2 linked regions of the Oreochromis niloticus genome follow. The protein of the gene in region 2 purifies or fractionates together with the protein of the main gene of each other region. This does not show direct contact. Links are inferred from orthologs where the notes say so. Each region holds a gene or a part of one and is shown on either strand. Other genes may lie near its edges.

The links.
Region 1: the proteins of eya4 (region 2) and dctpp1 purify together in Homo sapiens (affinity purification with mass spectrometry; 3 studies listed by BioGRID and IntAct, with this or other methods). This does not show direct contact. The link is inferred for Oreochromis niloticus from reciprocal best matches to the Homo sapiens genes EYA4 and DCTPP1.

The regions. Positions count from the first base shown.
Region 1 is NC_031971.2:15,529,960-15,536,387, forward strand, and holds dctpp1 (glutamyl-tRNA(Gln) amidotransferase subunit B, mitochondrial), read right to left. Parts: upstream 1,982-6,428; 5' UTR 1,914-1,981; coding exon 1,428-1,913; 3' UTR 716-1,427; downstream 1-715. Other genes in the region: gatb (glutamyl-tRNA(Gln) amidotransferase subunit B, mitochondrial), read left to right, coding at 2,147-2,292. UniProt on the Homo sapiens protein: Hydrolyzes deoxynucleoside triphosphates (dNTPs) to the corresponding nucleoside monophosphates. Has a strong preference for dCTP and its analogs including 5-iodo-dCTP and 5-methyl-dCTP for which it may even have a higher efficiency.
Region 2 is NC_031980.2:8,190,049-8,197,349, reverse strand, and holds the start of eya4 (protein phosphatase EYA4), read right to left. Parts: upstream 3,188-7,301; 5' UTR 2,825-3,187; intron 1-2,824. UniProt on the Homo sapiens protein: Tyrosine phosphatase that specifically dephosphorylates 'Tyr-142' of histone H2AX (H2AXY142ph). 'Tyr-142' phosphorylation of histone H2AX plays a central role in DNA repair and acts as a mark that distinguishes between apoptotic and repair responses to genotoxic stress.

The sequences.
Region 1 (6,428 bases), on a different chromosome or scaffold from region 2:
AATTTTTGCAATTTTTAGTCTTTCATTTGGTTTAGATTTAGTAGGTTTAGCCTTTAACAACATTGTTTACCAAAAAAAGGCATCTGTAAAACACAGTTTAGGCTGTCATGGTTTGGGGTTGCAGCCAGTGGTGTGGGGGGATGTTGTCATAATTGATGGAAGTATGAACGCAGAAAAGTATCATAGGATTTTGATTTACTATGTGATACACCTGGAAAGTATCTGATAGGCAACAGCTTCATTTTTTAGTATAAAAATGATCCCAAACAATGTCAGTGCAGCAAAAGCATATTTGGATAGAAAAACACACATATCACATGGAAAGGTCTTACCAGAACCCAGGCCTCAACATTATTGAAGCAGTGTAGGATCATCTTGACAGAGAACAGAACAAAAGGCAGACCACTTTCAAAGAAGAGCTTTAAATGTCCTTGAAGAAACCTGGAGAACTATTCCTGAAGATTACTTAAAGAAATTACAAGAAAGCTGCCTAAGAGAGTTCAGACTGTGCTGAAAAATAAAGACGATCATAATATGGACATTAAGATTGGCAGAATTATACAAACTGTTTTACAGGATCCTTTTATCCTTACTTCACTTAACCTTTTGTTTGTGAGTGTGGGAAACTTCCACATGATTAGTGTCTTAGAAAGAAGTTTATTTATAAAAAAAAAAAAAAAAAAAAAAAAAGGGAAAAAAAAGGGGAAAAAAAGGATGGATTGTAACTGCACTTTATTACAGCCCAAATAAAAACGTCCTGGTTTATGGACGTAACTTGGCTTTTCATGAATAATAAGACATTATTGAATCTGCGATGTTTCATAAATTGTCAAAAAAAAAAAAAAAAAAAAAAAAAAAAAAAAACTGAACAAAGTGGACACCAAGATTAGCTGGCATGCGATTGAAATCAAAACATCAATTAAGATACCTGCTTAATCAACTGCAGGTTGGTTAACAGATTACTAATCCAGTTTTATCCTTTAAAAGAAAATGTGATAAAAACATCCAAATTTGAAGAATATACTGATACATTTGGATGGAAAAAAGAGACAAGACTGTCAGTCTGGCACTGATCAACACTCCACTCCGTGGTGACACTGGAGCCAATCTAAATAACTTAAAATGTTTAGTGACAAATAAACCCCCGAAAGGCGATGCGCAACAGTCCCACCTTAAACTAACCGAGGCACAGTGAAGGTCAGACTAAAACTCAGGACTTAAAAGTGAACTTCAGTGAAAGCCAACATATTCCTTTAGTTCGGACAACTCCCAGATAACACAACAGTTGAAGGTTTTCGTGGTTTCCTAACATGTAAACCCAGAAAATGTCATTTAAACCGAGCTGTGATTGTGCAGCGTTTGTGGGTCTTTGTTAAACAGCAGCAGTTCCAGCAAACACACTACTCCCGTGCTCTCCTCCTCCTCCATCAGTCTTTATACTCTGTGTACTTCTTGGCCGACCCCTGCACTTTGCTGGCGGGGTATTTCAGACGGTTTAGAGCCATTTTACGGAGCACCGCTTGCGGGAGGTCCACGCGACACTTCTCGGCCAGTTCCACGAGGTAGATCAACACGTCGCTGAGCTCGTGCGCCAGCTGCTCCCGCTCTGTCTCGGTCCAGTCCGGCAGGCCCTTGGCTACCTCCCCCTTCCACTGGAAGAGCTCTGCCACCTCGCCCACTTCCCCGACCATGGCCAGGAGAAGGTTGCGGGGCTGGTGAAACTGGTTCCAGTCCCGCTCGTCCGTAAAATCGGCCTGCATGCGCCGAATATCCTCGATGGAGGGCTCGGAGCTGAAGGTGAACCTCTGCGGCCGCTTCGACTGCGGCGACGCCTCTGCGCCATCTCCGTTTACCGCAGCTGTGTGCGCCTCTTCTTTGACCCCACACGCGTCTTTTCCGTTTGTTGCCATCATTTTCTGTGTGTTTAAACAACCTCCGAGGTTTGTAAACAACCCGCAGCTTTCCTATCCAGTGAAGAAGTCCCGCCAGTTCTCAAAGCGGAAATGATGCCTCTTTAGTCGGAAGCTGGAAAATACACAATGCTGGGGCTTGTAGTTTTAAACCACAGCTAGCGGCGAAGTAGCGTACTAACTGCTACTTCAAATAAAACTACAATTCCCGTGTTTGTCAGAGCAGCGACACCAACATGGCTGCCTCCTGTGTTGCAGCAAGTGAGCTGCTCAATAATATAAAACAAATATCAGTCTTGTGTCCAAAGGCTTCGTACGCAGTTAGGGCCGTGAGCACCTCAAGCCCACAGTGCCACGCTCAACTCCCGCAGAGGGCACGAAGGTAAGAAAGGGTGGTGGGTTATTGTGTATGCGTGTGTTTATCGTCTCTGACCTGCAGGTTAACCTGCATGTTGCCTTGGTGTTGAGCTGTAATAATACTTCTCTAGGGTCTTCTTATTAACAGCAGCCGGGTGAGAAAAGTCTTCTCAGCCTTCACTTGTCTTGTCACTCGCAGCCTTCACTTGTCAGCCTGGTAAAAAACACTGCAGACAAAAGAACATTACTGCGTATGCGACATGATTCACGATTTCATCAACAAAATACGCCCTGAACATTATGCATTCATGTGGTCGAACAGCTTAATATGCGCTTATTAGTCTTTTAAACGACATTTGGAGTATAAGCTTTATCTTGTGGCTCGGTTAAAAACTGTTAGCAGAGGATGGTTTCGATCCATCGACCTCTGGGTTATGGGCCCAGCACGCTTCCGCTGCGCCACTCTGCTGTGTGGTTTTGAAGGTGATACAAATAGAAGGCAGGTCTAGTGGCTGAGCTAACGGTGCAAAGATTTTCTTAGGGCTTGACCTAAGATAGATAAGGAATAGTAGAGGAGAGAAAATGGATGAAAATCAGTAGACGCAAGATAGAACATCTGTGCATGCAAGAGAGGTACAGCAGGTGCAACAGTAAAGCTGCAGGAAGCAGAGGTAAAGAAGTTGGGGTCAACCAAAGCAAAGGACAACGCTCAAGAGAGGTGAAGAAAAAAGTGCAGGCAGGGTGGAGGAGTAGAGATGAGTGTCAGGAAGGGATTTATGACACAAGGATAGCAGCAAGATTGAAGGGAAGGTTTACGAGATGGTAGTGGGATGTATGATGTATGGTTTGGAGACGGTATCATTGACAAAAAGACAGGAGGCCGAGCTGGAGGTGTTTAGATTTCCTTTGTGAGTGACCAGAACGGACTGGATTAGAAATGAGTTCAGTTCAAGTTTTACCATTTTGGAGACAAAGTTTGAGAGTCGAGGCCGAGGTGGTTTAGATATGTACAGAGTGACCGAGATAGTGGATACAATGGACAAAGGATGTTAAAGATGGAGCTGCCAGGCACGACCACGGAGAAGATTCATGGAGGTAGTGAAGGAGGACATGCTGAGGGTTGTTGTGACCAAGGAAGGTGTTAGCGAAAGGGTGAGGTGGAGGCAGATCCAGTGTTGTGACCCCTAAAGAACAAATGTGTTAAAAAGTTAAAAAACTACCATCATAGTTTCAGTTTAAGTATGGTTATGTACCAGATTTTTACTACTCCCTGGAGACTCAACCGGTTGCCTTGGATCAAATAAAATGTCGTGTTACTTTTATTCTACTTAAATAGTTCCCTTTCATGTGGCTTTATGCTTCTAGCCCAATTTAAAATTAGTTTTTTTTTCTCTTTACTCTCTTTCATGTAAAAGCTATAGAGCAGCTAAGAAAAAAAACATACATTGTGTGTCTATATTAGATAAAGGATGTTGAATATGAGACTACAGAGAAAATTCATGCGTGTAATGAAGGAGGACATTTAGAGACCTGGTGATACCAGGGGGTGCCTTTTGCTAAGCATAGGCGATGTTGTCTTTATCAGTTTTATTTAGCTTTTCAAAGGGTTAAAGCAACAGTACAGACAGCAGTCTGTGTGCTTTTGTCCATAGAGATACTCGAAGAGACAAGTGATCCATCTGCCAATGTGAAAGATTACACGGAGACAGAGTAAGACAATATGGAGCCTTTCATTCAGGACGCTCACCAAGCCTCTTACATCTGTGGCAGAAATCATGTTACTGTCGTGGAGTGTATCATACATCAAATGCAGGCTGTGTCTGACTAACAGGATGCCACGAGTTAAACAGATTAATGCAGACAGACATTTTAAGCTTTTCATCTCTGAGGAGTGCTTTAGGATTGCGTGCATGTTTCAGCTGAGAGAAACTACACAATATCAGTCCACTATGTACCAGTCACACTCCTTTAGGATATTAAATCAAGGCTACAACATAATGCAATTTCCATAACTACTGTATAGGGTTTTTACTTTGCAGTATAAGCACCTTAAGGCAATTGTGGTTGTGGTTTGGCACTATATAAGTAAAACTGAGGGCAGCGCCTCACAGCAAGAAGGTCCTGAGTTCAATTCCACCATCAGGCCAGGGTCTTTCTGTGTGGAGTTAAGATAAGATAAGATAAAACTTTATTAATCCCTCGGGTGGGTTCCTCTGGGAAATTCGGTTTCCAAAAAGCACAGCACCGACAGAAGTTACAGAGCGTGAGCATAATATTATATATTTATACACATATATAAATACAGAGACATATATAAATAAAATATACGAAGGGGATAAATAGAATAAATAGAAATAAGAATACAAGTGAATTGCACATTTCAAGTATTGAAGTCTATTGCACCGTTGACTATTAACAAAAAGTATTGCACAAAAAGTATTGCACAGTGAAGTGAAGAGGCACTACAGCTTAGTTGTTCCCCCCTCCTTTGTCCTCCTGTTTCCCCTCCCTCTCCCCTCCAGAGAGGAGTTAAACAGTCTGATGGCGTGTGGGACAAAGGAGTTTTTAAGTCTGTTGGTTCTTGTCTTTGGGAGAAGCAACCTGTCACTGAACAGACTCTTCTGGCTGTTTATGGCCGTGTGCAGAGGATGCCCAGCATTGTCCATAATGTCCAGCAGTTTTTTTTAGTGTCCTTCTCTCTGCCACTGACACCAGAGTGTCCAGCTTTGTGCCGACCACAGAGCTAGCCTTCCTGATCAGTTTTTCCAGCCTGGATGAGTCCTTCTTTGCTGTGCTGCTCCCCCAGCACACTACAGCATAGAAAAGTACTCCAGCAACCACTGACTGGTAAAACATCCTCAGGAGCTTCCTGCAGATGTTAAAAGACCTCAGCCTCCTGAGGAAGTACAGTCGGCTTTGGGCTTTTTTATACAGGTGCTCTGTGTTGCATGACCAGTCCAGTTTGTTGTCCACCCACAGCCCGAGGTACTTGTACTTGTTGACCACCTCCACCTCCTCCCCCTCTATCTGAACCGGCAGTGGACCTTCTCTGGACCTCCCGAAGTCCACAACCAGTTCCTTAGTCTTTGAGATGTTGAGTTGCAGGTGGTTTGTGTGACTCTATGCGACAAAGTTCGTCACCAGACTTCTGTACTCCTCTTCCTGATTATCCCAGATACACCCCATGATGGCTGTGTCATCTGCAAACTTCTGAATATGGCATAATTCAGAGTTGTAGCAGAAGTCAGAGGTGTACAGGGTGAAGAGAAGAGGGGACAGCACAGTTCCCTGTGGTGGTCCTGTGCTGCTGACCACAGTGTCAGACATGATGTCCTTCAGCCTGACGTACTGTGGTCTGTCAGTGAGGTAGTCGGAGATCCAAGCGACCAGGCAGGGGTCCACCTCCATCCTGTTCAGTTTTTCCTGGAGCATACAGGGCCGGATGGTATTAAAGGCACTGGAAAAGTCAAGAGTTTGCATGTTCTCCCCGTGTTTGCGTGGGTTCTCCGGCTTCCTCCCACAGTTCAAAGACATGCACTTAGTGGGGATAGGTTAATTGAAAAATCTAAAATGCCCATAGGTGTGAATGCAGGAGTGAATGTGAGTGCGAATGGTTGTCTGTCCCTGTGTGTTAGCCCTGTGACAGACTGGCGACCTGTCCAGGGCGTACCCCACCTCTCACCCTATGACAGCTGGGATAGACTCCAGCACCCCCCGTGACCCTGAAAAGGATAAGCGGAAGCGAATGGATGGATAAGTAAAACTGAATTGAATTGAATTGAACATCAAATTGCCACCTGAGTAGAACATCTGTTGTGGCGCAGACATCGAGCTTTCCTACTAGTTTTTCTCAGTGATCACAGATACAAACGAAAAGAATTGCAGCCACCATTACAAAGAAGATTATTATTTACTCTCTCTGTTAGGATTATATTTCATTCAGATGATTGATAAAAAATCCTCAGTGCCTGAAAGTGAGCTTAACTTTCATATCGTCAGGACACCATGACAGTACCAAGAAACTGTAAGTGGGACCAGAAGTGGAAATACTAACTTTTCAAAAGCAAACCCAGAAACTGAACAGCTGTTTTGACTCGTGCTGTGCCGTTCATTCATCTTTGAGTCTGTTATGGCATGTTTCAAGTTTTTATTAATGAACTG
Region 2 (7,301 bases):
GTAACCCTTTTTTTCTGTAATAGTGAATAATACAATGTGCATACAAGTGTGTTGCTCTTTCTAAAAGACAGATACAAGGGATTTGTTTACTTTTATCACAAAGACTGATCAGGGTCTAAAATGGTTTTCCTAAAATATGGACAGGTATGAGCATAAAATTGGGGCACTCCAAGTTGTTCCTCTATCTGAGCAGCATTTTGTTGCCGAGTGTGTTTGCGTGTGTGTGTACTGTGGAGTTTTCTGGCTCGATCCTTTAAACTAACTGGCATCCTTTTAATTTTTCATAGCGCTCAGCTCCTCCTAGCCTGAAACCGAAGACAATAATGCGTCTCTCAGGTGAATTGATTTGTGCCCAAGCCTCCCTGCTTCCCTCAACCCCCACCCTCACCCTCTCTCTCCCTCCCGCCCTCTCCTCCTCTCTCTCACCTTTGTGGAGGACATAATCAGCCTTCTATTCGATCTGGCTGGGTTTCACCCTTCCCTTCATGATTTATTCTTCTTTAGCGGAAACGTGATGGGCAGTAAACCCACAAAGAGCAAAGTTTACTTCATGCTTGTAATGGAGCATTTGTCTTAGTTTTCCTTTTTTATTTATTTTTTTATTTTGTTAAACTATAGCACAAATATGCAGCAGCTGACCTAAAGGGAGTTTTGCTGATTAAAAGGGGATGTTGCTTTTTTTTTTCTTTTTTTTTTAAATGTCAGACTAATTCTTATTAAATGATGCTGTCTATCTGCCCCAGCTGTCCTGCACGGCCCTAAAACCCACCCAGCAGTTACCTGACACTAAACAGGGAATCAATAGTGCCTGCCATTTCCTTCGGCGTCCCAGAAGAGAGAATTATATTTCTCACTATGGCTATTGACAGCGACATAAGAAACACATATGGGACGGCGGAGGGTTAGAAAGTGGACCAAATAGCTACACTGCGGTAATTTCACGCTATAAAAGCCGAAGGAAGGAGAATGTTGAACAAACCGCAGACTGCTGCTGGTCGGAGGGACTGCAGTGAAAAGTCACATGTTAAATTCGACTTTAACCTCGCTGTCTTAGCAATCGCTTATATGCAGCTATCGATCTTTAAATGACACGAGCAGTTTCCAAGATTACCAGTTAAGGATTAGTCTGTGCAAAATTTAAACTGTTTACATAAAAAAAAAAAAATCCCTAAGGCCTCTGACGTTTAAATGGTCAATATTTACATTTGTTTTTAACCTAAAAAGTTAAAAAATAAATTAATAAATTAATTAATAAAAATAAAATAAAGATGAACCGCACATTACCTGACATGAAGATAATAAAATCTTTTCTGCTAGGCAGGTTTAGGCCTAACGCAACATTTCTATAAACAATACGATATACATATAAGAGTTATTTTTTTTTAAGTACAAAAAAAGACTTAGAAAATGTAAGAGTGCGATGCTGTTCTTTATTCTGGTCATTTTAAAAGGGATAAAACAGTGTGTTTTGCAGCCCTCCCCGTTTCGGGACAGGGTTCTACTCCTAAAACAGTTTCCAGATAATGAAACGGATACTCTTAGAGTTCTCCCACTAGAGGACAAATATAATGAATAAATAGAAACAAATGTGACGTGTGAAATACAGTATATATATACGGGATTATTTAATGCCTTAAAATGGCCTCTAATTAACAAATAAACAAATTAACAATAATTACAAAAAAAACAAAACACATTGAAAAAATTTAAATATACTAGCAAACGCCAACACCCACAAATCCCCTTTGGCTGCATTAAAATATTTAATTCTAAATATTTCACATTTCTGGTGAGATTATCAGCCTTAGAATAACCGAGCCGTAATGTAAAATGAGATAGAAGGCCAGTGCAGTAGTTTACAATTTTCCAGAAATTCTCCACACTCTAAATCTTGCGCATTAATGCACGTTGTTTAAGTATGAGCCCTTAATGTGAAATCTAATCTGTATGGATTACGGAGCAGTAGGCCCCTATCAGATTTTGAGTCGGCGTGTAACTTGTCATGTTGTTAGAGGCAGGCCAATAGCCAGGGGCCATTCAAGCCCTGAGAGCCCGGCAGTGGTATAAGATTCCCATTTCCTACATATCAAATATAAACACAAACTCCACGTGGGATGAGAGGCGAGATGGAGAGAAAAAGCCGTGGACACGCGGAGGGATGGAGACTGAGAACTGAGGGGACACCAAGGGGACTAAACTCCTTCATGTGTCCACAAACTGAGAGGGGAAAAAAGGATGGACCGCACTGACCTGCAGTTAAAGATTGATGTATGACAAAAAAATAATCACTGTAATTTTATCATTCTTTTCTTTTTAATACGAAAAACCTTTTGCACAACTATTCAATTTTACAAGGAAGGATCTGACGTCATTTCGCCATGTTTCAGCAAAAAATTACAGCAACCACTAAATCTTTATTAATATTATTTTTTGTCCACTTGTATAATATCAGGTAATCTATCGGTGAGCCGAGATTCCGGGGCTGGGATGAAGTCTGAGAAAAATGGACACACACTTAACACATCACTGTTATTAACGGGCATGCACTGGCCTTACAACAACAATAAGGTAAAGTAAAGACTTATATTAGTAATAATATTATAGAAAACTGGAGTCTGTCACTCTTTGATGGAGGATAATTCCTTTAATTGTTACTGATACATTTTACAGATTTTTTTATATATATAAATGTTTTGAAATCGGAATTAATCAAACTCAACAAAACCATGACAGTTTTCTCGCTTCTGCCACCTGACCTACAATTTAAGTGTCTAATAATAAAGCCACAGCCGTCTGGGAAAAACACAAACTAGTTTAAACATACCTGTGTTAAAAGTATTGTCGTCCCAGCAAGAAATCAGCTCCCAGATTCTCTTCACTTCTTGCGAGCGCTCATAATCAAGTACAGCGTGATCGCCGCACAGCTCTCCCTGCCGTCTGCAGGCTGTCACTGACCGGGATCAAAACACTCAGCTACTGCTTACCATTATCAGCAAGAGTCCAAAAACAAGCCGATGAGTTATTCGGAGTCCTTAAAACAATTTTACAAACTCAAACACGAGTCCCGAGGCTCGCTTTCGGTGACCGGAACGCTCGCCCCCGCGGGAAACAACATTATTTTCAGTCCGCGTCCAAGTTTGAGCACCAGGCTGTTCAGAGGCATGGGACATTGCTGATGAAGATTGCTCCTGCGCATGCGTCCAGCTGCCATGCGGATACTACCGGGCAAGAGTCCAAAGAAGTAATGGGGTTCAGAGTGGGGTGGGGTGGAGGGGACCAAAATGATTTCTTATTAATAGTTTGGCCCAAATGATGTGCTCACAGTTTTATATATCCCACTGGAGCAAAAACATCTATGAATCTGTCTATCTGGTTTCCAATTAGTTCATTAATCCAGTATTATAAAGGATTCAGAAAAAACTTGTATATCAAATACATATATATATATATATATATACCTTTTACTGTATTTGTATAGCAAAAAAACAACATCCCTAGAAAGTGAGCTTTTTAAAAATACACAGTACATAAGTAAACATGAAAGGCAAAAATGCAAACTTATGCAAACACACAGAGGGAAAATGTGGTGGTTAATCTGTATACAGTTACAGGCAGGGGATCGGACAGAGGACAAGCATGCCAGAAAACACGCTGGAGATGTAACGAAAAAACAAACAGAAAACAGCATGAGAGTAAAGTCAGACAGGACTGTTTTGGAGACGCCCCAGAAAGATGACAGGCTTGGCCATGGGTTCTGTTTATTTGAAATATTGTTTGTTATGGCTTATGGATTCTCCGACTGTTGGGCCCCGCTGGCTTCGGATCAGCGCTCTTTTACCATGCTGTCATTTATTTAAGATCGTGATGTCAGCGACCACTCTGACTGATCGCTGATTGTTGCTTTAGAGATCCTGTTAATGTTCACACACGCATGCCCACACAGACTCCCACTCACACACACACAGATACAAGAAAGGGAAACATGCTTTGCACTACTTTCTTTTACTATCCCTCGCATACACCCACTCACAAACACACAATCTTTGTTTATGTGCAAAGTTTTCTTGGTAATATTATGTAAGATGAAAAGAGCCAAAGTTTCCGTGGTTTCAAATGCTTTGCACAAACACTAAAAAACAAAAAAATGTTCCTCGTTGGACTGGCTGGCAGTTTAACTGGCAATCCCAGAGACAAAAAGTCAAAGTCGCCCTAAAGCAAAGGCAGGAAAGTGGGAGCAGCCCTTTACCAAAACTATAACTTCTAATGGAAGTCTTTATGTTTGTGGGTAAGAACAGAAAGACATTAATCACCCTCAGAAGGTATCTCACATTAAGTTTCATAGCCGCTTTCACGATGTTCATTTTTTACAGTGATCACCAAATGACAGGGCACAGAAATGAGGTCTGTCATCTTCCAAAGTCACACTGCTGCACAATTCAACTTTTTCATCATTTATCACATGGAATTGGACAGGATAAGTAGTGCAAAGTCATTTGATGCCATTTGTAGCTGGCATGACATCGCATGATGACTGATATGTGTGTTTTGGCACCGCATTGGGCGGGTCAAATTCAAACCCTTGGCATGGCTTGTGTACAGGAACTTGCATGGCAAATGGTACCCTGACGGTAGAAGAAAGAGAAAGCTGTAGTTGCATTTACTCTCAAATACACAGCAATTTAAAAAAAAGGCTTATAAAATAGACTTAGAGTGTTATCTTGAAAGGAGGTGAAACACCGTGCTCTGTGACTAGTACCCCCACTCTCTTTTAATATAAAGACTTGGAAATATCAGTCTCATTTTCTTATTTGTCACCTAGTTTAAACTATGTAAACAGCCAACTTGTTGTTGTGTATGTGTCAGTCTGTTTCACCTGTGCTACCCGCTCATCCCCTCTAACACCCCACCTCTGAAGAAAGTCTATGAATAGCACAGTTTAGTTGAATCCTTGTTTGACTCCTTTAATAAGGCCTAGCCTGTTGTGCCTTCCTGCTTCTCAGTCCAGCAGCAGAACCCAGGCCTGGACCCCGCTGCTAAGTGATTGACACATTCTGGCAGAATGAATTAAAACCTCGTGCTGTGACACATCCCAGAATAGCAAGAAGCTGTTGCTGAACTGCAGTCTCTAGTGCCGCATGTCAGCAAGCTTAAAAAACTTGGCAGAACATTCTGCACAAAGGAAGCATGTACAGGTGTTTGTGTGTTCCTCTCGGTGTGTGTGAGTCTGCCTGAGCGTATGAGCCGACATGCGCTGACGTACAGTATGTTAATGCTTCAGCTACATCAGCAGTCTAACGAGTTAATCCAACAGGCGGCCTAAAGCAGACCCAGTGTGCCAATATTTGTCATGTTTTACACGATTTTGTGAAGCCCGATTGACGCTTTTTCAATTAAACTGAGACCACTTTGGAATTTGAAGGCAGTGGCAGATGGATCTATTTTTTTGGCCAGCTGTTCTCTGGAGGGTGACGCTGGGGTGGGGTGCGGGGGGGCTAAGCCCCAAGATGTTTCGTGGCGTAGGACTGTGAGCCTGTGTGCCAAGTCACAGAGCTCCCGGTTCTTGCCAAGCAGGGGGTGGGTTGAGAGAAAATGCCATTTAGCTGGCTGGTATTTATAGATATGTGAGGAACTTGTGCTCAGTCCTGGCCGAGGTGCTGACGACGTAAAACGAGAGGACGATTCCAGAAGTCGAGTGTCAGGGCACACAGATAAAAATACCCGGTGAAAGATGGGTCCGGTCATTAGTGGTGCAGTGTGGCATGTGACATGGCCGCATTTCAGAGGTGATTTATGGTTATTACTACAGCTAACCTATACCTCTCCCTTTCCTGCCCCCACCCTACATCTCAAATTGGTTTGCAAAATGGAATGGCAAATGGAGTTTATTTCAGGGGCCGAGTGCCCAGAAAAAAAAGAAGAAGTGTGGAGCAATTTAGACTTTGGCAAGGTGCCACGGCTTGGTGTAAGATTTTACCACAATACTGGGAAAACATGATGATAAATTACACTTCTAACAGCTATTTAAGCTGGAAATGCAGAAGGCAAAAGCTACTTGCATGTTACCACTAACCCCGTGTTACTGCAAGAGCTGAAAAAGAGCATATGAAAAGATTTCCAGTCAATCATATCATACTGAACAAAAATTATGTGGGCTGATGATAGGTTGTGGGGGTAACGAGCTCACTTCAGGTCACTGCCTTCTCTAATTGCCCGGAGCAAGCTGCCACAGGGAGGAACAAAGGAAACATTTCACACGTCGTAAATTCATGTAATGCCCTGCTGCAGAGCTGCTCCTCTGGTTACATTGCTCCTCAAAATTTCTTTTTGTTTTGTTTTAACTTAGTTAATCATTAAAAAATAACAATTTGCATTCAGATAGTGAAAGTTTCATATGTAGCAGGCCTAAGGAGCCACATTGCAAGCTGAGGCTGAGCAGCTTTTTTTTCCTGCTCTGTTTCAGAGCTGATGCATGTGTACCTGCCTGTCCTCTGCTCATCCTCTGCCCCCAATTTGTGTGTCACAGTGACAAAAACACACACTGAGCAGAGAGGAAGAGGAGGGGCACAGGCGTAGTAAGGATAACATTGGTCTACTTGGTGATGTTTGGTTGCTGCAACCATAGGTGTAGTCCTTTAGTTTTTGAAAGATGTTATCCAAAATGAGCCACAATGTAGAAATAAAATTGTGTTTCATCTTACCCACTAGCCTTTATATACATCATAAACTGTGCAGTCACAATTTACACTCAGATGCAGGACGTAAACTATTCAATTCAATTCAGTTTTATTTATTTAGCCAAATCATAAAAACAGTCATGCCAAGGCGCTTTATATTGTAAGGTAAAGGTAAAGACCCTACCATAATAGAGAGAAACCCCAACAAGTAGACCACCTCCTATGAGCAAGCAATTGGCAACAGTGGGAAGGAAAAACCTCCTTTAAACAGGAAGAAACCAGACTCAGGGAGCGGCAGCCATCTGCCACAAATGCTTGAAATGTATTACTGGTCATATTTTAGTAATTTTGATCATTTGTTAAGAAGAATTGTATGAGAAACATTTATCTGACACATTTATCTTAAGAATATTTATGGCTATGAAATTCACCTTCTTAATGTGAGTCAAGTCTTTTCTCACATCTTTTTCTGCTCTTTTTTCCCCCTCCTCCCCAACTGGTCATTGCAAGTTGTTCCTCCCTGGTCTTGTTTTATCTGATGTTTCTTCCTCTTAAAAAGGAGTTTTTCTTTCCCACTGTCGCCAAGTGTTTATTCATTTTTGGTCATCTAAAAAGTTTTCTCTTTAT